Linked DNA regions of Drosophila melanogaster. The protein of the gene in region 2 interacts with the protein of the main gene of each other region in a pairwise test. Each region holds a gene or a part of one and is shown on either strand. Other genes may lie near its edges.

Evidence for each region.
Region 1: the proteins of Mvd (region 2) and CG5835 interact in a two-hybrid assay, tested with the Drosophila melanogaster proteins (one large-scale study listed by BioGRID).
Region 3: the proteins of Mvd (region 2) and Pisd interact in a two-hybrid assay, tested with the Drosophila melanogaster proteins (one large-scale study listed by BioGRID).

Annotation. Positions count from the first base shown.
Region 1 is NT_033777.3:19,147,370-19,156,650, reverse strand, and holds CG5835 (uncharacterized protein), read left to right. Parts: upstream 1-2,964; 5' UTR 2,965-3,188; coding exon 3,189-3,255; intron 3,256-5,037; coding exon 5,038-5,162; intron 5,163-7,018; coding exon 7,019-7,416; intron 7,417-7,467; exon of another isoform or gene 7,468-7,489; coding exon 7,490-7,613; 3' UTR 7,614-8,019; downstream 8,020-9,281. Other genes in the region: CG11779 (uncharacterized protein), read left to right, coding at 105-185, 249-786, 854-1,518.
Region 2 is NC_004354.4:15,746,069-15,752,979, forward strand, and holds Mvd (mevalonate diphosphate decarboxylase), read left to right. Parts: upstream 1-3,097; 5' UTR 3,098-3,183; coding exon 3,184-3,235; intron 3,236-3,296; coding exon 3,297-3,367; intron 3,368-3,763; coding exon 3,764-3,881; intron 3,882-3,941; coding exon 3,942-4,867; 3' UTR 4,868-5,669; downstream 5,670-6,911. Other genes in the region: CCT6 (chaperonin containing TCP1 subunit 6), read left to right, coding at 703-839, 1,240-2,704; Graf (GTPase regulator associated with FAK), read right to left, coding at 6,165-6,265, 6,325-6,404, 6,473-6,911.
Region 3 is NT_033777.3:24,049,210-24,054,935, forward strand, and holds Pisd (phosphatidylserine decarboxylase), read left to right. Parts: upstream 1-1,573; 5' UTR 1,574-1,771; intron 1,772-2,471; exon of another isoform or gene 2,472-2,480; 5' UTR 2,481-2,837; coding exon 2,838-4,181; 3' UTR 4,182-4,383; downstream 4,384-5,726. Other genes in the region: Atg6 (Autophagy-related 6), read right to left, coding at 50-155, 210-1,257, 1,314-1,428; CG6000 (uncharacterized protein), read left to right, coding at 5,286-5,726.

The DNA.
Region 1 (9,281 bases), on a different chromosome or scaffold from region 2:
CCTCTGATCCCGGTCATCACTGGCGTTCGCTCACATCCGTCCTTACATGTGCATATTTCGAGGTTAAAACGGTCGAAGCTTTCAATGATTTTTTCTCCTTGCAGTACAGAATAGCTGCCCTTGTGCGGGATCGCGCCTGTCTCTTCACGTGCCAGCAGGCCTCGCAGAACCTGCAGCAGCAGCAGGTTAGAGTTTGGCTCATAAAACCCCATGGCGCAACCGGCCTAAGTCATGACTTTACTCCGCAGCCCCGCTTTTATAGTGCGCCAGGTCGCAGGGCCGGCTTCTTCTCGCAGTTCTTCGACAACATGAAGGCGGAGATGGATAAGAACAAGGAGATCAAGGACAATATCCGAAAGTTCCGTGAGGAGGCCCAGAAGCTGGAAGAATCGGATGCCCTGAAATCGGCGCGGCAAAAGTTTAACATTGTCGAATCGGAGGCGCAAAAGTCGTCTAGCATGCTAAAGGAGCAGCTGGGCGCCATCAAGGAGCGCGTAGGCGATGTTCTGGAGGACGCCAGCAAATCCCACCTGGCCAAAAAGGTTACCGAGGAGCTCTCGAAGAAGGCTAGGGGGGTCAGCGACACGATCTCCGACACCAGTGGCAAGCTGGGCCAGACCAGCGCATTCCAGGCTATCTCTAACACGACGACGACCATCAAGAAGGAGATGGACAGCGCGAGCATAGAGAATCGTGTCTATCGTGCTCCTGCCAAGTTGCGAAAGCGCGTCCAGCTCGTCATGAGCGATAGTGATCGCGTTGTGGAGCCCAACACGGAAGCCACTGGTGAGTCTCCATCTTTTTCCTTCAATAAGATCAAAGGTCATGGCCATAATGTAATGTTACTTTTCAGGTATGGAGCTGCACAAGGACTCCAAGTTCTACGAGTCGTGGGAGAACTTCAAGAACAACAATACCTACGTGAACAAGGTGCTTGACTGGAAGGTTAAATACGACGAGTCCGAGAACCCTGTTATTCGTGCCTCCCGCCTGCTGACCGATAAAGTGTCCGACGTCATGGGTGGACTCTTTTCAAAGACAGAGCTTTCGGAAACGATGACGGAGCTGGTGAAAATCGATCCGAGCTTTGATCAGAAGGATTTCCTCCGCGATTGCGAAACGGACATCATTCCAAATATTCTGGAATCGATTGTCCGTGGGGATCTGGAGATTCTGAAGGATTGGTGCTTTGAGAGCACTTTCAATATTATCGCAAATCCCATTAAGGAGGCTAAGAAGGCCGGCGTGTACCTGGACTCCAAGATCCTCGACATCGAGAACATTGAACTGGCAATGGGCAAGGTTATGGAGCAGGGCCCGGTACTGATTATCACGTTCCAAGCCCAGCAGATTATGTGCGTGCGGGACCAGAAGAGTCAGGTCGTCGAGGGAGATCCGGAGAAGGTGATGCGGGTTCACTACGTCTGGGTGCTGTGCCGCGACCGCAACGAACTCAACCCCAAGGCTGCCTGGCGGCTGATGGAGCTGTCCGCCAACAGCTCAGAGCAATTTGTTTAGCGCGCTGCCACGCCTTTCTTTTTTACCGAGCCGTTTAAGTTTCCCTCATTTTCTCATCCAAAAAACAAACGAAAAGATTACTGGACACTGAGCATTGACGACGAACTGACCACGAACTCGACCCGCAGGAATCTATTAAGTGTGTACAAAGGTTTCGCTTTCGATTGCTTTGAAAGTTTTGTCCGCCACTAGTCAACTGCGTCCGCCCGGCAGGGGCTGCTGGTCGGTCCCGTGAACGATTCCCCCACGAATTCCGGGCACAGCAGACTGCCGGCTCCGGCGCGGCTCATATCCCAAATGACGCCCCGGTTGGCCGTTCCTTGCGGCCACGCCCACCGCCGATCCACTTCCGGCTAGCACGGAAGGAGTGTTCGGTGCGGGGATTGGCCGTCGGGATCGTGGTTCCTCCGCTGGTGTCCTGGCCAAATCTATAACGTTGAAGCTTAAAGTGCAACCGCCGGTGTATAAGGCGTATAAGTAGTGACCATAAGCAAATTGTTGAGTGTAGTTGAGTTTAGGTATTTTAAGGCCCCAACCCTTTCCGACACCCCCCCCCCTCCCAATCCCCACCCCCTTCTCTTGTAAATATGGAATTCGCTCAGGGCGGCTTGGGCATCGTAAATTGACTGTACACACAGAATCCAAAGAGTTGTATGTACGTACACATCGAGCGCCACTCAGAATGTCTAGAAAAATAAAAATACTTCAATATTTTTACATGTACCATTTAAGCAGCTGGCGAATTCTTGTGAAATAAGTGTTATGTTTCCTTACCCTAATCACAGACATCCAAGTTTATGGTTGCCCCATGGATCGGGCATCCGTAAGCGCCACTTGCTACTAAGTGGGCAAAATAAAAAAAATCCAATACTTTTACATAATCCATTCGATTGGGTGTTTTTAAAACATGGAATGCTTTATTTTCCGATGACAGTTGTAAAACATTTTAATTTTACCTTGGTTAATAAGTAGTATAAACTTGCTGTTTTGAGGGAGAAAATAGTTTGTTGCTCAAATAAAAATGTTTGCAAATACCTAAGTAGTCATTGTTTTCTATGCATGTGATTCATGTATCTCAAAAACTTGAAAAATATTTTGATGTTTGTGACAAAAACAGTGATTATAAATTAGAGACATTTTTATTTGATGAATAATTAGCATAAAAAAGCCTATAAGTATTTGATTTTTTAATTCACAGAATTCATTCATGACCCACTTCGTTATTCAAAATAGCACATATCAGGAATAAAATGTACTGAATAATAATAATAATTTATACCTTTAACAATCGGTTAACGAGCAAGGTGGTAAAATCCGAGCAAAGTTAAGAATGCTAAGTAATTTCTTCGTTTCGAATACCCCCAACAGTAAGTCAATGTTACTGCCTCGATCGGTTAACAGAGAGTTAACAGAGTTGGGGTTAACTCGGCTGGCTCTCAGCTTGAGTTTGTCATTCCGCACGGAAAGCTCGTCGCGAACGCACGTAAAACTGGCAAGGCGGAGAAATATAACAAACATTTACAATTTGGCCCGCAGAATAAGCCGAACGAGCGCTTAATCATCGAAAAGTATCCAGCGATCGAGTGGCGCGTAACCTGTGCGTGAGTGATAAGGAGCTAATTGATAAAGGAAGTGACGACGGTGCCCGCATATCTACATAAATTCGCAATATGATGGCACTGCGGAAAACTTTGGTCTTCAACAGTGCGCTTCTGTTGGTTCTGCTGCTGGCGGAGTGTAAGTACCACGACAGATAAAAAGATATAACTACAGTGACAACGGGCGAAACAAGATAGATAGACACGCACACTCGATGTTTCCACTTCTGCAGCGAAACTAGTTTGCAGCGCAGCTGGATGGGATCGAGTTGGAGCGGCCACTTGGCTAGACAGCTAACAGTTTACGGTTCACCCTTTGCCTTAAGTGCCAGCCAAGATCGAAGACCATGTCCGGTTCGGGACGCCTTTATGGTGAAGCCCGCCCGGTTTACAGCGCATAAATATGGGGTTTTTATTGAATGGTTCGACCGCCCGCCGTCCCGTCGCAATGAATCGTCGTCCATCAAGGTCCCGCCAGGTCGCGAAATTAAATTGCAAGACTTTAATTCCATGGGGGAACTCCATCCATCCAGCTGGCTTCGCAGTGCAGATAAGATTTCGCCAGGCCTTTTGCGCTATATTGGTAAATGATCGCTACGCAGGAATTGTAAGCGAACAGTTGTGGTCAAAATAATAGGCGTTGTTGTATAAATCCTGCCAAGAGGGAACTATTCAGATGGATAATTGGGTTTCAGATTTCTTTTTTAAATCAATAAGTTCTAAAAGTACAATTTGTTGAAATGATAGTGGACATTCTAGCATTGGATTTTCATGTTGTATTTTTCATTTTTAAGCTTGAAAGCCAATTAATTTAATTACAATATAATCCTTAAAATTTCCTTACTATTACTACTATTACATAACCAACGAGATTACTTTATAACAAATGGCCAAATGACTGCCGTTCCTTCCTGCAGATTATGAGGTGTCAGAACTTTATGAGCTGGGTCTTAACTTATATTATTTGTCCTAAAGTTGTTAGCACCCGCAACTCAGTGATAAGAACTCTCCGGACTCTTTGACACTTGTCAAAAGTGGATCAAGTTTTCTTCGGCTGAAGGCTTTGGCCTATCGTCACGTACTCAATTCAAAACTGGGTGACTTACGAATGTCGAATGCAATAAATTGCAAGACATCATGGCTAAATCATGTGCTTTTTCGAATTTAATTGGCTTTTGTTTGTGGAATTTTTGGAAGCTCCACCAGCTAACGCGCGATTTTGACGCGATTCGTGAGCGGTTTATGCGAATCCCAAAGCGATCGGCATTGGCGAATCGTTTGTGGCATTAGAAATGTGTTTATTGTTTCAGTTCTGCTATATAGTATATATGTATGTATAAACGGACAGGTTTGCAAAAAAAAAAAACCATACGATTCAAACAAATCTTAAAGTGTACAGTGGCAGTGATTAAAGTAGGAATGGAATGGTTAAAGTTAGTTATTGAGTTTCGGAAAGTAAAACAGGCTGCTATTTACTTATTCCAATTTAAATAAATATATTAAAATATTTACATATATTTTATTGACGCCATCATTGCTATTTCATTGACCTCGTCTGTGCTAATTAATGCTGCTTTTTTGAGCCACAACACGCTTTTACTTTGTTTGCCAGAAAGCGTAACCCCAAATTCATTGTCTACTGATAATGCGGCGGTGGCAGCAAAACAAATTCGTATTGTCTGGGTCTGGTGTTTAGTTTTGAATAAAATCACAGTTGGCTGATAAGGAAACATATCTGCAATTTGGCTAAAAAGGTGCTAGTTGCGAAATCTCGGGGTAAAGGGTAAATATTTGCGCTTCCCCTGAAACCGAGAAGATCTGTGTTTTCTTATTCAGGTAGCCCGCTGTAAGCTGTAACCAAATACCGGCTAATTCAAGCGAATGCATTATCTCATTTCGGCTTAATTGCTTTCTCTTTTAGCCCAAGCCAAGCCCTCGCAGGATTTAAACAAACCGCAGACGAAGGAGCCAAGTGATCTGGGTGCAGGAGCTGGAGCAGCACGAGGAGTGCCGGTGGCTGCCAAAAATAAGACAGCTGTCGTGGAGGTGAGTTGGCCAAAACAAAACGCTGGGCATGGGTAACTGGGCCAGGCCAAAAGAGAGCCGGGCAACGGGGCAGAATGGTACAACGGGACAAAACCAAAACCAAAACCAAAACCAAAACCAAAACCAAAACCACTCCGACTGGAATCACTGACGCACTGACGCACTAAGTAACGAACGACCCAAGAAGCTGAAATACGAGCCAGGCCAAATGCATTACTGCATTTTGGGTTTATTTTTACCCAGAACCGGAAATTTACGCTTTAAAAATGTTTATTTACTTTTCACTTTGATTTAAATGCAAAAGCCAGCAGAAGACACGCGCAGCGTTCGCCTTTTAAGGGGCTCCGAAAGAAACGCTTATAAAGACAAAAATAAAAAAGCTCACGCACAGAAACTTTGCATAAAATTATAAAAAAAAAACTTGGTCTAGAGGGGGGGATACACAACGCCTTAGTCACGAAACTCCAATCGGTGGGGGGCATTATAATAGCGGGTGATAATACCCCAACCACACTTGGGTGAGTCACCATGGAATCGGATTCTAGGTAATCCCTCCGGCTGTCGTGACGTTTGAATGAATGAAGTTTAGAAAACCCCTTTGTATCCCCACAAGGGTAATCCCCAATCAGATTACGATTTTCCAGATCTCCCAACTCGATCGCTCGCTTGTCACCTTATTTTTTTTCTATCGTTAGTTGTTAACAAATCGGCCAATTACACGAGATGGAGCGGCTAAAAAAGCAAATGAGATTGAGACAGAGACAGTAAAACCAGTCACGTATTGTTACTGGCAATTACAAAAAGTTGGTATCTCGATCTCGACGGTCATCGGGGTCAGCAATCTACATATACATACAAAGGGCATTTGGGATACAAGATACTTACTATATAGTAAGTGAGAGTGATCTGTGGTAGTCAGCATTTGGCAAAACAACTTGGTTGCGGCAGTCATTAACATTCTTTATGGAAAAATAATATGGGTAACCAAACACACACATATTATGCAAGATAAGTTCGAGCGACCTTACTGATAACTTGGCTAGTTTAGACAGCTGGAAGTGAAACTAAACTGAGATGAAAGCCAATTTCCTTAGCTGTTTCGCTTGGATAATTGAGCCATAAGTAAGGTGAGTCTCTGCTTTAAGTGATGATTAATATGCGGAGACATTTGACTTACGCAAAGCCTCGAAATTTTCAGTTGTGACTCAGCGAGGCTTCCGATTTCCATGGATATATTTCAGTTTCAATTGTTAGACTCGGTTACCAAGTCAACACTATCTGGCTTAATAGAACACTCAGTTTTTTAATCGGACTGGTTTAAAACTTGTTGTTTAATAATAGGGGAAAGTAATGAGTCCATCCAAAACATTAGCATGTTTGTAAAGCAATTACAATTTGTATATGACTTTTTTTAATTTTCACTAAAATTTCTATTTGAAAGCCGGATTTTTAAAGCTACTTCATTCGTTTGCATAAGTAAAGATGATCTCAAGAAGCTATAAGGCACTTTAAAAAATATTAAACACGCCTTCACAATTCAGACACTTTTGCAACGCCCACTTTCAAATTTGTTGCCCAAATTCGGCATAGAACTCGCATAGAATCACGTGCCGTTTGAAAATCAATTACTCAGCCGACAGTGAAAGCCACATCGATGACACGAGCCTTTTTTTTGTATACACAGGGAAAAACAAATTGACGCAATTAAAGGCAATTTATAGATAAATATGAAAATATAACAAATAATTAGTGAATATACGTTAAATTCAGCTTAAACATGTTGATCGTTTAATTTTAAAGCTTGAATAATATATGCATGTTATACTAACTAAAATTGTATTTTATTTTAATCGCAGGATACTTCCGACGATTCCGACTCAGAGGCGGAATCGGAGGAGCAGCAGCGGCGGTCATATCCCCACCGCGACGAGGACCAACTGAACTCGGCCACCAATTTGGTTTTGGCACAGAACTACAAGTACGATGTGGAGATCCTGGAATCCGGCGATGCCGACCAAGACGACAGTAGCATGGATGACGTGGACGATCTGGAGGAGCGTTTCAAGGGACGCGGTGTGATCTTCAGCACGGACACCGAAACCTTCGCCAACGAGAACATCGAGATGAGCCCGCTGAACGTGCAGGCGGATGCGGTTAGCCAGGGACACGTGCTGCTCGGCATCGTGGTGGTGGCACTGGCCTTGGTCTCCATCGGCCTGTACGCCGGCCTGGTCATATGGCGCTCGCACCTGGAGTGAGTTCTATTGGCTAATTGCTCTAATTTTCAGAGTGCTAACTCATTTACCATCTCTTTTCACCATCATCAGGCAGCGGTATGGAATGCGCGAACGACTGGTCAATCACGACTTGGAGGATGAAGCGGCTGGTGTCGACGACGTCGATTATCAGGTCTATGCGCCAACCACGACGGCAGCTACGCCTAGGGCGTAGTCCGTTTCGAAATCTGGTCCGATTCGATTCGATCCGATACGACGGTGGGCTTCAATTGGACCTGGTTTCGGTTTAAAGTGCACACTCACCACACAATTCAGACGAGACGACGACGATGGCAATTCATTGCAGCCTCAGCTAGGATGGTGGTGGAGAGACGGTGCTCAATCGTCTAATGTATGCCATAAATTTCCACGACAAGCTGAAAAGCATTCCGCTTCCCAATTACACTCTAATGGCGTTGCTAAAGGTCACGCCGATTTCTAACAGCGCAGTTGACAAGACCAATTAGTTAGTAAGTTTCTGTGATATTGTTCTAGAGATTCTTTTGTACGTCCTTGCACTAACAATACGCATAGAACCCACGTTGCTAATCGATAATAAAAACTATATGTAAATGTAAATGAATATTTAACTTAGGCGTCTTTATTTTGTTGATGGTAAATTCCTGCAAGTTACCTCTTTCACAGCTGCTTAAGACTCTGTGGTTTTCAAAATACTGGAATTATTTAATGGATTATAAATGAATAAGCAATTTAAAAATAACCAAAACATGTTATCTGACTTGATTCATTTTGAGTTTTATTGGATATAAATCTTCACAAGCCTTGTTTACACTTAACACACTCAGGTAAGCCATTAAATTAAAAATAGCCACACAAAGAACGAGTTACACACCCAATAAAATGCAGTAGTATAAGGTATTTTTGGAGTTAACAATTACATTGCTTTTATTTGTTATGCATTTATTCTTTCTTAACCCTAAAATAAAAAAGGTTTCCCTTTAAAAATTGAAATAATTTGTTTTCGTACAGGTATTTATAGCTCAAATTTGAATTTGAATTAGGCGCGTTTTCTTAATTAACAACACTGAAATAATATCTAAAGCGCAGCCAACTTTGCTCAGATAGCTCATGGGTACCACAAGACTAAGAACTAGTTCACAAATATGAATATTCAACAAAAACACCTTCTGGCTGACAGATAACTAGGCAGAAGTGGTGGTCTTTCTTACTTATTAGCTAAATGAAACCTTTGTATAGCTTCCTTAGAACGATACATGAAAAACTTAATCTTGACAAGCAACAAGTTTGCTGCATGCGCCGGAACCAGTCAGCAATGCCTCCAATTCGTCCCTGTCCAACACTGCAATCAGCTGTTACCTGGCCAACGCGTTTTTTTTTTTTGGCCTGCACTTTGAACCCCGAGGTTTCGTGCGAATAAAGATACGGATTTGAGTGCGCCTGTCCACATTCCCGCTCGTCCCGCTCCGCCATCCATCGCTGCCTATCGCATTTTCGGTTCAGAATCCCGCGGACCTTGCTGCCGTGCACATCGCATCGCATTTCCACAGCTGCGTTTTTCAGCATTTTCGTTCGCTCTCTCTCTCTCCGGTTTTTCAGAGCGCTCCGTTCCGCTCTCCCGCTCGCGCGCGCTCCCCTTAACGGTTCCATTGATAAGCAGCGCCACCCGCAGCCCCTGCCCCGCCCCCCTGCCACGCATATTCCGCCCTTCGCATTTCGGAAACTGCAAAAAAAAACCAAACCAAAGCAAAGCAAAAGCAAATCAATCAATTAAGATAGTACGCCGAATAGTGCAGTGCGTGTGTTAATTAATTTTGGTTGCCATTTCGCACATTCTGTATTTATTAATTGGCAGTGCATAGCT
Region 2 (6,911 bases):
TCCGGTTAACAATCAGAATTCAATTAAGTCTCTTGGTACTCTACGCTGCGGTCGGCGCACTCTAGTATTGTGCCTTATTTTGACTTGATTTTATCCCGATTTGGCCAATAAAAAAAAACTTTTTAGTGTTGGGGTTTGGGCGCACGGTTGCATTTCATTTGCTAATCGCCATCGGTGGTCGCAGGTGAGCCGATTAAATTGTGCGGCTTATTTTGCAGTGATTTAGCGGGAAATAGCCATTACTAGCGGGAAATATATTACCACCCTTAAGACCTTCTTTAATACTCATAATCATATAATCTTTGTAAATAACTTAGATATTAAGAATCGCTTAAATTGATACCGATTAAATTAAGTTGCCCAAGAAGGGTAATGGTACGCTAGTCAATAAAATAATTTCGTTTAATAAATTTAAATAAAAAAAAAGATATATATATGAAACATTTTTTAAATGTCATTTTGCATGTAAGCCACCACAACGAAAAATCTAATTAGAAATAAATAAAAGTGTTACAAATTGGAAGTGATTACAATACTATCGATTGTACTGCTTTGAAGTCTCTAGTTGTCTTTCCCCCATCTGGTCACACTTGCCATCTGATTTCTTCGATTCGCCTAACTTTAAGCGTGCTTGGATTTGTGCCGATTCCTATTGATTTATTTTGCCGAGCTAAGAAAATCTCTGTTTAATTGCGACACGCGATGGCTTCGATTAGCTTGCTGAACCCCAAGGCCGAGTTTGCCCGCGCCGCCCAGGCTCTGGCCATCAATATCAGTGCCGCCAAGGGACTGCAGGATGTGATGCGCACCAATTTGGGACCCAAGGGCACCGTTAAGATGTAAGTTACTAAAACCGGCCTCTAATATCCCTCACTTTGCGTTCCATTAGCAATTTGAGTGAGAATGCTAGTTTATAGGCGAAAAAACAAACGTTTTGGTCACAGCTGCGGCAACTGCAAGTTTGAGGTTAGACTGGAACTAGCGGCATGCGTCATCGCAAAAGAAAGAAAGAGAATGTTGCAACTCTGGAGCAAAAAGCTTAGAATTTAGGTGTTTTTATTTAATTTCAAAAAGAATCTTAAATGAAAGATGCCCCCAGAGGCTTTAATTTATTCATAAATGTGTGTTTACCTGCATATCCAGCACCGGGTGATTCAGAAAGTGGCATCGAAAGAGGCGTGACTTGACTCACGCGCCGTGAAAAGTGAAACAAGCATACTAATTCTAGAAACTTCGCAGGTTGGTTTCTGGCGCCGGCGACATCAAGATCACCAAGGATGGCAATGTCCTGCTGCACGAAATGCAGATCCAACATCCGACTGCCTCTATGATTGCCAGGGCCAGCACGGCCCAGGATGATTCCACCGGCGATGGAACCACCACCACTGTGATGCTTATTGGCGAGCTCCTGAAGCAGGCCGATATCTATCTGTCCGAGGGACTGCATCCTCGCATCATGACCGATGGATTCGAGAAGGCACGCGACAAGGCATTGGAGGTGCTCGACCAGGTCAAGGTGCCCGTGGAGATCAACAAGAAGAACCTGGTGGAGGTGGCCAACACAAGTCTGAAGACCAAGGTGCATCCCGCCCTTGCCGATCTGCTTACGGACGTCTGCGTGAATGCCGTGCTGACCATTGCCAGTGCCGATAAGACCAAGCCCGTGGACCTCCACATGGTGGAGCTGATGGAGATGCAGCACAAATCCGATACCGATACACAGCTGGTGCGTGGACTAGTCATGGACCATGGTGCTCGCCACCCGGACATGCCGAAGCGTTTGGAGAATGCCTACATCCTTACGGCCAATGTCTCGCTGGAGTACGAGAAGGCCGAGGTCAACTCTGGCTTCTTCTACAAGACCGCCGAGGAGCGTGAGGCCTTTGTGCGCGCCGAGCGCGAATTCATCGACCAGCGTGTGAAGAAGGTGATCGAATTGAAGCGCTCCGTGTGCGATGGCACCGACAAAACCTTCGTCCTGATCAACCAGAAGGGCATCGACCCCATCTCGCTGGACGCCCTGGCCAAGGAGGGCATCCTGGCCTTGCGTCGCGCCAAGCGCCGCAACATGGAGCGTCTGTCTTTGGCCTGCGGTGGCACTGCAATGAACTCCTTTGACGATCTGCAGGAGGAGCACTTGGGATACGCCGGTGTGGTGTACGAGCATGTTCTGGGCGAGAACAAGTACACTTTCGTTGAGGACTGCAAGAACCCGCTGTCCGTCACGATCCTGATCAAGGGTCCCAACAAGCACACGATCACCCAGATCAAGGACGCCATCAGGGACGGTCTGCGTGCCATCAACAACACCATTGCCGATAAGGCTCTGGTGCCCGGAGCTGGAGCATTCGAGGTGCGCGCGTACAACGAGCTGGTCGCCTTCAAGGACACCATCAAGGGCAAGTCCCGCCTGGCAGTGCAGGCCTTTGCCGATGCCCTGCTGGTCATTCCCAAGACGCTGGCCGTGAACAGCGGCTACGATGCCCAGGACACAATCGTCAAGCTGACTGTTGAGGATCGCCTGAGTCCCGAACTGGTCGGCCTGGATCTGGCCACCGGGGAGCCCATGAAGCCCGTGGATCTGGGCGTCTACGACAACTACATCGTTAAGAAGCAGATCCTCAACTCCTGTTCGATCATTGCCAGCAACCTGCTTCTCGTCGACGAGGTGATGCGTGCGGGCATGACGAGCCTCAAGGGCTAGTCCCCATCATTTCATCCGACCCATTCAATTTAACCAAGTTAATGCACCGCATGCTACTCAACCCGCGTCTCTCAAAGCCACACACAACCAAAAGAAAACTAAACACGTAAATAATTTGGAAACACATGAAATCGGAATGGTTGCGGCTGCAAGTATTCACATTTAAAATACAATTCTAATAAATACAAAAACCAAACACAGCTCTATGCTTAACGCTAATGTATTTTCTATTTTTATTAACACTAATGTTTACTCACTACAAACTTTCATTGGTTTAAAAATAAATGGAAATAGCGATTTAGCCGTGACTCAAACCTCAATATGGGCGGTAATTGGGGAATACCCACAACTACATTTTTTGGGGCCACATGGTATATTTGAAGAGTCCACTGGGTGGTCACACCGCAGTCAACAGTTGTCGCTTTCGCTGGAAAGCAGCTGAAAACAAGTGAATTTCTGAATTAAAAACATTTTCAAACATGTTTTCGGTTACTTGTGTGGCGCCCGTAAACATAGCGCTCATCAAATATTGTGGGTAAATTAATACATATATTATAAGCACATAAACTTATGCACATGCATTCCTTTAAAGGGGGAAAGCGGCACGAAGAGCTAATTCTGCCCGTCAATGATTCCATTAGCATGACTCTGAGCACCGATGAGGTAAATATGAAAGATATTTAAATATTTATTTGCGTTTTAAAACCAACAAATTGTAATTAAAAAATTAAAAAACCTTAGACGCTTTTAATAATGGTTTAAGTTTAAAGTGCGCGTAGTCGAAGTTTTCATTTTCTCACAAATGTAAATATTACGAAAACTTTCTATTTAATTTGGGAAGATCTCACGGATTTTCACTTTTCACCGATTCTCTCTCTTTCGATTTGTGTGGACACTGAATTTGCTTAAGATTAAAATGAAATTACTAACTTAAAAAAAATGGGTTTTTGAATATGGGTTGTTCGAAATCCTGTAATTTCTAACTTATTTTTTGAAATAGCAATCTATCGAGACTTTTAAAATCTTGAACAATTACCTTTCTTGATCCCATCTCCCAAGCTCTGCGCCAAGACAACAGTGACTGCATCGGAATCCTTTGAAACGAATCGCATGTGGCTGAATGGGGAGGAGGTGCCTTTTGAAGAGAGTTCCCGCCTGCAGCGCTGTTTGAATGAAGGCGAGTTTATAGTTATATATATAAAAGTATAGAACTTTAATGTAAAAAATGCACTTGCAGTTCATCGATTGGCTGTGGCGAGTGGCTCCCAGAAGGTTCCGCCAACCTGGAAGCTGCACATCGCATCGGTAAACAATTTCCCCACCGCCGCCGGACTGGCATCCAGTGCAGCTGGCTACGCCTGCCTGGTGTACTCCCTGTCCCGACTCTACGATATACCGCTGAATGAGGAGCTGACGACGGTGGCGCGGCAAGGAAGTGGATCGGCATGTCGCAGTCTGTATGGCGGTTTTGTGCAGTGGCATCGCGGAGCTCTGGATGATGGCAGCGATTCGGTGGCGAGGCAAATAGCTCCATCCGACCACTGGCCCAACATGCATGTGCTCATCCTGGTCGTTAACGATGCACGCAAGAAGACTGCCTCGACAAGGGGCATGCAACAGGCGGTGAAGACGTCTCAGTTGATCAAACATCGCGTGGATCAAGTGGTTCCCGACCGGATTATCCGATTGAGGGAGGCCATCGCAAGCCATGACTTTCAGGCATTCGCCGAGATAACGATGAAGGACTCGAATCAGTTCCATGCCATCGCCCTGGACACCTATCCGCCGTGTGTCTACATGAACGATGTGTCGCACAGTATCGTGTCCTTCGTTCACGATTATAACGAACGAATGGGTAGCTATCATGCCGCGTACACCTTCGATGCTGGTCCAAATGCATGCCTCTATGTCCTGGCGGAGCACGTTCCGCATCTCTTGAGCGCTATCCAAAAGGTGTTCCCCAATGATTTAGCGGATGGTGGCACCTACTTGCGAGGCCTTCCCATTCCAAAAGTGCAAGATGCTGAGAGCAGCAAGTTGGATTCACTAGATGTTCATGCTAAAAATGCTTTCAGATATATAATCCACACGAAAGTCGGTGAAGGACCAAAAGAATTAAGCGCTGATAATAGTTTATTGATAAATGGACTTCCGCTGAAGTGATGAGAGTGATTTTGAGAGTGAATTGCATAGGGAAAGGCACAGAAATTCTATAAAGGAAATATTTTTTAGAATATATTTATGCGAAAATACATTTATCAAAATGTACAATGGGGCACAATGTATAAACATTTAAAATGCGCACGATTATTCATTATTACGTGACTAAATTTGAATATCTCAATTGCAACAACTTAATTTATTCTCTTTATTTATTTTTACCTTATTTATTTATGAATTCCGGTGAACAAATGATTGGCTATTTTTAAATAAAATTATGAAAAACGGAAATCAATTCTAATTGCAATTTTAGCTAACCTTGGTTTATACATTTATTTTGCATTTGTATTTATGCTATTTATAGAAAATCAACAAAATACGCTTTGTAAACACGAACTTCTTTCATTTCGATTTTGAATGCTTTTTGTGGGGTCGCAGTGCAAACATTTGTTTGAATAGAATAATTTATCGTTTTGAAATATGTTTATTTATGCACATACATTTAATTGCTTTGTGCAAAGTAAACAGCGGCGGCTTTAGAAAATTCTGAACTGAAAATTTTTTGTATTGCTTTAGCATATTGATGTTATTTTAGCTAAATTTTTACAAAAAAATTGACAAAAAATGAATCCTTAAAAAATGGTTCGCATTTGTAATATTCTGTGCAAACAGTCATTATTTTAGGTTTGCGACCAACTTGTGATAAAAAAAAACCGCCCAAAAGAGTATAGTAAAACAACCATTTCAACATTCTACGTTTTCTTTGCCTTGCTAAGAAAATATTTATTATTATTATTATATTATTATTTTTTTTTTTTTGATATGGTATATGGCAGACTTCAGTTTAAAGTTTACATTTTAAAAGTGAGCGAAGCACTGCTATTTATTTTTATACATTTGTATATGTAGTAGATATTAGATACGTTGTAATCCATTTTTGCACAAATTACGTGAATTATGTATAAATAAGCAACAAATGAAGAGCGTAACAATTAGTAAATAAATCTTTGCAGTTGCACTGAGTTTATACTCCTTATTAAATAATTAAAAATAAGTACATTGTATGGTCATGGTATTATAAAGGTTAACATATTTATAAGGTAAGATTGTGGTTTCCTGGTTTCCAGCATAAAATAAAATGCAGCTCATGTAAATCCCCTCATGGGTACGGGTACACATAATCAAAATTAGTTTTTACACAACGATTATTTTCAGATTTCCTAATTCTCCTTATTAATTGTATCTACCGACGAATGCAAGAAATAGTTGCGAACTCCACGAACTTCATCGCACTCAAATTCTAATGGTGCGGCTTCAAATGTTCCACATAGTTCTCCGGAATGAGTCCTGTTTTCCCATTTAGTGTGCCCTGCAGCCAGCCGGGTTCGTGGGAGTAACGAACTGTAAGCGGTGAAATCATTGTAAATAACAAATCTTCCACTCATGCTCTCAAAACTCACCATTGGTTATTATTTGGTTGGGCTCGAAAGAAAGCTCGCCCTCGCTTTCTCCCATGCAAGCATAGAGTGTGCGCACACGACTGTAAGTAAGCAACAGGTTTTAGGCGATTAAGTTGCAATTAGAACCAATAGTAAATTATATACTCACGCGGTGCCCGTTGACAAATCACGTTTTATTTGGTTGACGTCACGATTACGATGCATTTTACTAGGCGGATATTCGGTGCTTTCGCTGGCGGTGCCACCACAGCTTAAACTAACCGAGGGCAATGTTGTGGCCGTGACGACCTCGTCGCAGGTGGGTCCAAGATGCGGCGACAGCGATGAATTCTGTGACGATATCAGCGCATAGTCATTAGTGTTCCGTGCGCTCAAGTGCTGGGCAACATTCCCACTGTTGCCACTATTGGCCACAATGGAGCTGCCCAGGCCGTTGTTGGAAGATAGTGAATCACATACGCTGTCGTTGGAGCTGGATGTTGACGTTGGCATTAGGGGTGAATAGTGTTTTGTCTGGCCGTACGAGTGCAGACCCCGTTGAACGGGCGGATGCTGCTGCGGACCACTGGCGCTGCCCAGGAATCGCT
Region 3 (5,726 bases), on a different chromosome or scaffold from region 2:
GGGGATAATTAAGTAATTTATAAATATACATTTAAAAGAGAAAGAAAAATCACGGTGACACAAACTGTGAAGAAACCCAGGCCAATCCCCATTTCAGGTTGGTTAGCATGAATTTCAGTGCCTTGGTCCACTGCTCCTCCGAGTTAAACTGGATTCTGTAAGGAAACCATCATTATTATAGGTAAAATCTTTACCATTTCTAAACCTACTTAATAGAATAGGAATTTCCCGTGGAGGGATCGATGATCTTGCCCTTCTCCATCTTGTAGGGCAGCAGGAACTCGGTGTCGCGCTTCTCGACCTCCTTCTGGAACTGGGTAAGACAGTCGAGAAAAGCTACCATGGCAGCATCAAACTTGGTGTCCCAGAAAAACTTAAATCCGCCGCTGCCATAAAGCGGGAGCTCTCGATTCTCGCCGAGCACCTCAACATACGAATGATTTCCAAAGGGTACTACACGATACCGCTCGAAGGTGAGCCCTATCTTACGAGCAAGCGCAGAGAGCAGAAGCACCGTCTGGCCCCAAGCGGCGTTGATCTCTGACCAGTCCACGGATACAGAGGGCAATCGACCCAGCCTAAAGTTATTAATGGTACCGAAATGCCCGGCATGCCAGATGTGAAAGGTGATGTTGAATATGTTGGTGTCGCGCAGTTTGTCCAGCTGCTGTTTCGAGTAGGCGATCTGACACTCCAGACTTCGTTTGTCATCCTCGGTGAGCATTAGCTCACGCCTGTGCTTGGTATACTCGCGCCAGTAGCTTTCCTCCTGCTCGTGCAGCTCCTCTCGCTCCTGTTCCTCCTCGGCAATGGCATCATTTAGCGATTGTTCCTCCTTTTTGAGCTCTTTTAGCTCCGACAGAAGCTGTTGCTCGCTGCGCTTTAGTTCGTCGAGCTCCTTGTCCAGGGCCTCAACGTTGGGTGCTACACGCTGTTGCTCTAGTTCATCCAAATAAGCCTTGTACACATCCCACTCGTCCTCAGCGATGCGCAGTTCCCTGTCCATGATTTCCAGCATGGAGTCGGCACACTCTTCGCACAGCGGATGGTCAATCTCAGAGTTGGAGGAGAGGCAGTCAAACAGCTCCGCTTTCAGCTTAAAAGCAGCACTCATTTTCTTGTTGTCCCTGCCATCGGAAACCAGCATAAAACCAGTGCCATTTATAGAGTCCGTAAGCCTGTAGGGCGGCACAAAGTGGTCGAAGCTGCTGGCGTCCTGCGGGTCCAATGTATTGCCATTGTCTCCGTAGATGGGCACTGAAAAAGTGATTTATTAGACTAATTTCCAGAGTGTATCACCCATCATCACCTACAAGATAACTCCGCCATTGCGTGCACGCTAATCTTCTCCAGCTGCTCGTCCAGGACGATGGGCTGCAGGCAGCGCTGACAGGCGAAGGACACCGCCTGCTTTTCCGCCTCACTCATTGTCGTTCCTGTTTGTTGTCCTTCGATTTTTGCATACAATTAAATCTTTCACCGAGTGTAAAAACACAAATAATCCATCAGCTGTTTGCAACTGCTACCAGAGTTGCCACCCCCTCCGAAAAAGAGTGTGGAAAAATGGCGCAGTTAATCGGACAGTAAATCGTCAACCAACAACAACCTGAGACAGTAAAAAAGAGAGAAATAACAGAAAACCAGTTTTAAACAATAACATTGCCTAATTGTGTCCGCCGGAGATGCTTAAGCGTGCCGCGAAGCTGCAGGCCTTGACCACAATTCCCGCTGATAAGAGAGAACTCAAGGGGTTGGCTTTTGGTTTGTTTTGGTAAGCGACAGAACATTAGACGGAGTGCCGTCGCCAGTGCTGCCAACCTATTTTAGCTATAGCAAATATTTCATAGTAGCAAAGAGGTAGAACCCAAATACAATTTTTATAAATAATAGTTTATAGTTAGCGAACGGACTAAAAGAGAAACCTGATATCGAACGACTTATTATATTTTTTGTTAACTCAATTTTAAACTTACTCCAGCGTAAACCATACTTTATAAATAGTTTACCAAAAATGATAGCACAAGTGCCAGAAAGCTATTCACTTCATTTTTAATTTGATTAGGTAAATTGTGCGAAGGAAGTATTTAAAAAAATGTGAAATGACGTACTAAGCACCCCACATATAGACTAAGAATTAAAGGTTAAGGACATTGACTTTCGCAATCTTTGTATTGTAGTTAAGCCACAAGCATTGATAAGCAAAGAAATTGTAAGAGTGAAATAAAATCATAATAAGATGAATTAATTAAAGTAGAGAAACTGATAAAGACTTGCACTTGAAGCTGACACATGTGTTTAATAACTATATAATTGCTAAGGGAAATTTTGTTTTTGAAAAGTTTCCGTTATCAAGCTCGAAATTTCTAGCAATGGGGCAGCACGAAATTTGCCGCTGTAAATCTAGCTTTCAAAACCTGGCAGCACTGTCGGTGGTCACATTGTAGCCTCTTCGCATTTGACGACCCATGGAAAACTTTCAGTCTCTTGCAGGCAGCACAGCGATACGGAAGCAACAATTGAAACGTCCAGAACTCCTCCTCCCACGAGTATTTAAATTCTGACACAAGAGTGCCTGAACCAAAATCCCACTCACCGAATGCTGGTGCTTTGATTTGCAACTGTTCCTAGGTTCCGGCTGAATCCCTAGATTTGCGGATCTACGCAACTCATTCACTCAAAAGCCAGCCGAATTTATCGCGCCAGATTAAACAAACAGAAACAAAAAACAGAAGCCGAGACCAGTTCCACATCGTGCCATTTTTATCTGGGCATATAGGCAGACGTGATTACGTGATTAGTGCGGCTGGGGCTGCCGTTTATCAATAGCGAGAGCAACAATGGTTTCCTACTTCGTACCTCGTGGCCGCTTCCTGCTGAAGGCCGGCAATCTCAGACAGGTGGTGCAGCAGCAGCATCAGCCGGCCCAGCTACAGCTGCAGCCCATTAAAGGACCACAGCCGCAGGCTCAGAATGCCAGTCTGCCGGTGGCCCGTCACTTGCGCCAATTCTCCTCGAATCCAGCCTCCAAGGAGGCACCATTACACCACCGGCGCCCGCAACATAAACAACAACCGAATCCTAGTCAGGAGTTAGCTCAGATTCGGCGCAATATACTCTCACGGTGGACGGGCTTCCTGTTGCGTTGGGCTCCCATGGGCATCTGTGTGTTTGGCGCCATCGAGTGGCAGTTGCAGAAGAACCGCTGCGAAAAGGAAGGAAAACCTCGGACAGCGTCCGAGCTCCAGTCGCGCATTTACTGCTCCCTGCCACTGCGCATAATCAGCCGTTGCTGGGGCTGGCTGGCCGCTTGCTACTTGCCTCCCAGTCTGCGTCCCTACGTCTACGGATGGTATTCCAACACGTTTGATGTTAATTTGAGCGAGGCCATGTATCCGGAGTATGAGCACTACAATAGTCTGGCTGAGTTCTTTACCAGGCCACTTAAGGAGGGCGTTCGTGTCATCGATCAGCAGGCTCCACTGGTCTCCCCCGCCGACGGTAAGGTTCTACATTTTGGCAGCGCCTCGGACTCGCTAATAGAGCAGGTCAAGGGTGTTAGCTACAGTATCGAGGACTTCCTTGGCCCGCTGGAGACTGTGGAGCAGGCAAATTCCGGTGCCTCCTATGCCCAGGCCCTCAAAAAGAAGAGCGATGGTTCTACGGAGCTGTACCAGTGCGTGATATATCTGGCTCCCGGAGATTACCATCGATTCCACTCTCCTACCGCTTGGAAGCCCACCATTCGTCGTCACTTCTCCGGCGAACTGCTGTCCGTGAGCCCCAAAGTTGCCGGCTGGCTGCCTGGTCTGTTTTGCCTCAACGAACGTGTGCTGTACATGGGCCAGTGGAAGCACGGATTCTTCTCCTACACCGCCGTGGGTGCCACAAACGTGGGATCCGTCGAAATCTACATGGATGCCGATCTGAAGACGAACCGTTGGACTGGATTCAATGTCGGCAAGCATCCGCCCAGCACCTACGAGTACGATGAACTGGTCTTGAACAAAGAACTAACAGAAGCGCCCAAGGAATTCGGCAAGGGGGATCTGGTGGGCCAGTTCAATATGGGCAGCACCATAGTCCTGCTCTTCGAGGCGCCAAAGAATTTCAAATTTGATATTATCGCCGGTCAGAAGATCCGCGTTGGCGAGTCCCTCGGCCACATCGTCGGCTCCAAATGAAAATGGGAGCCACAATTATGTACCGAATCAGTGCAAAGTCCTGTCCCCCAACTGCTCAGATCACTTGTTGTATTAGCATTAGACGCTCGTGTCCTAGGCAAATGTATTTTGTGAACATCCTGCGAAGCTAACTCTGTGTATTGTTGCCATTTCAGTAGTTTTAAGCTATATTTTATACAATAAACGTCGAATTATATTTGAGAACAACAACAGACCATCCATCAATTAACTCATTCAGGCACGCGCTTCTGAAGTAGAACACCGATTGTTGAGGTGGGGCGTTATCAGGGAACGTTTTGATAAGAGATACCAGGCTGAAACGCAGTCGTTGAACCCCTCGTTGCTGAGGATTCAGAAAGACTAAGTCTGTGTCTGTAGCCAGCTTATCGGGCCAAATAACGCTCCGGGGGTCCACACTCACCTCCTTTTGCGGAGTCCACGCTATCAGTGAACCTGAAAATGAAGCAAAACCTTTTTGGGCTAGACAAGCGCGTGCCGCTGCCGACGACAAGATGACAAGTCGTCTATGCCTTGCGCCACCCAGTGTTTACTTTAGCGCAGAATCCGGGATCGCAATCCATTCCGTTTAATTAATTCAATCAAGCCCGGACGCCGGGAATCTTGTTCGTTGAACTTATCAGGCGGTGACGGGTGATTTGGTTCCTGGCCTTGACACACACACTCCACGAAGTCCGTGAGTGTTAATTATTCGCCATGGCAACCGATTTGATTGCAAATCGAGCATCGGCTTAAGGGCAATCACTAAGGGAACTTCGAATATGGCGCCAACAGTGCTGTAAATGTTTAAATAAAAGTATAAGTCGTGGAATTGCCACTCTTTAAAGCTATTCGTTGTGAAAAAAAAACATAAGGAACTTTTATTTTGGCATATCACGCCATATTCTTATCAAATAATTTTTTTTCGGTTTAATTTTAAAAATTCGCGCCAACTCGATAAATGAACGTTCAGTTAAATTCACCTCATTGTACAAACGAGGTGAACTGTGTTAAACAGCTGACAGCCGGCATTCATTTGTTGTTCTCTGTGATTTTACGTAATATTGGTATTTATTCTGAATATAATTGTTTATAAAGCACATTAAAATGATGATGCGACACTGTATGATGGCCTTGAGGGTCGCTAGATCCCAGATCCCGTTCAGCACTGCCAGGAATACTCAGAGCAATCTCCTCCAACGTTTTTACAGCCAGGCTCCTCAAATTGGAATCGTGGACTACGACGTGGTCAAGAAACTACCCAGCGAACCACAGAAACTGCTCATCGATGTCCGGGAGCCGGAAGAGCTGAAGGAAACCGGACAAATCCCCGCCAGCATCAACATCCCTCTGGGCGTGGTTAGTCAGGAATTGGCGGCCAGTGAGCAGCTTTTTAAATCCAAATATGGCCGGGAAAAACCGAAGCCAGAAACGGAGATTATATTCCACTGCAAGATTGGCAAAAGAAGCCTTAAGGCTGCAGAAGCTGCCGCCGCATTGGGATTCAAGAATGTAAAGAACTACCAGGGATCTTGGCTGGATTGGGCC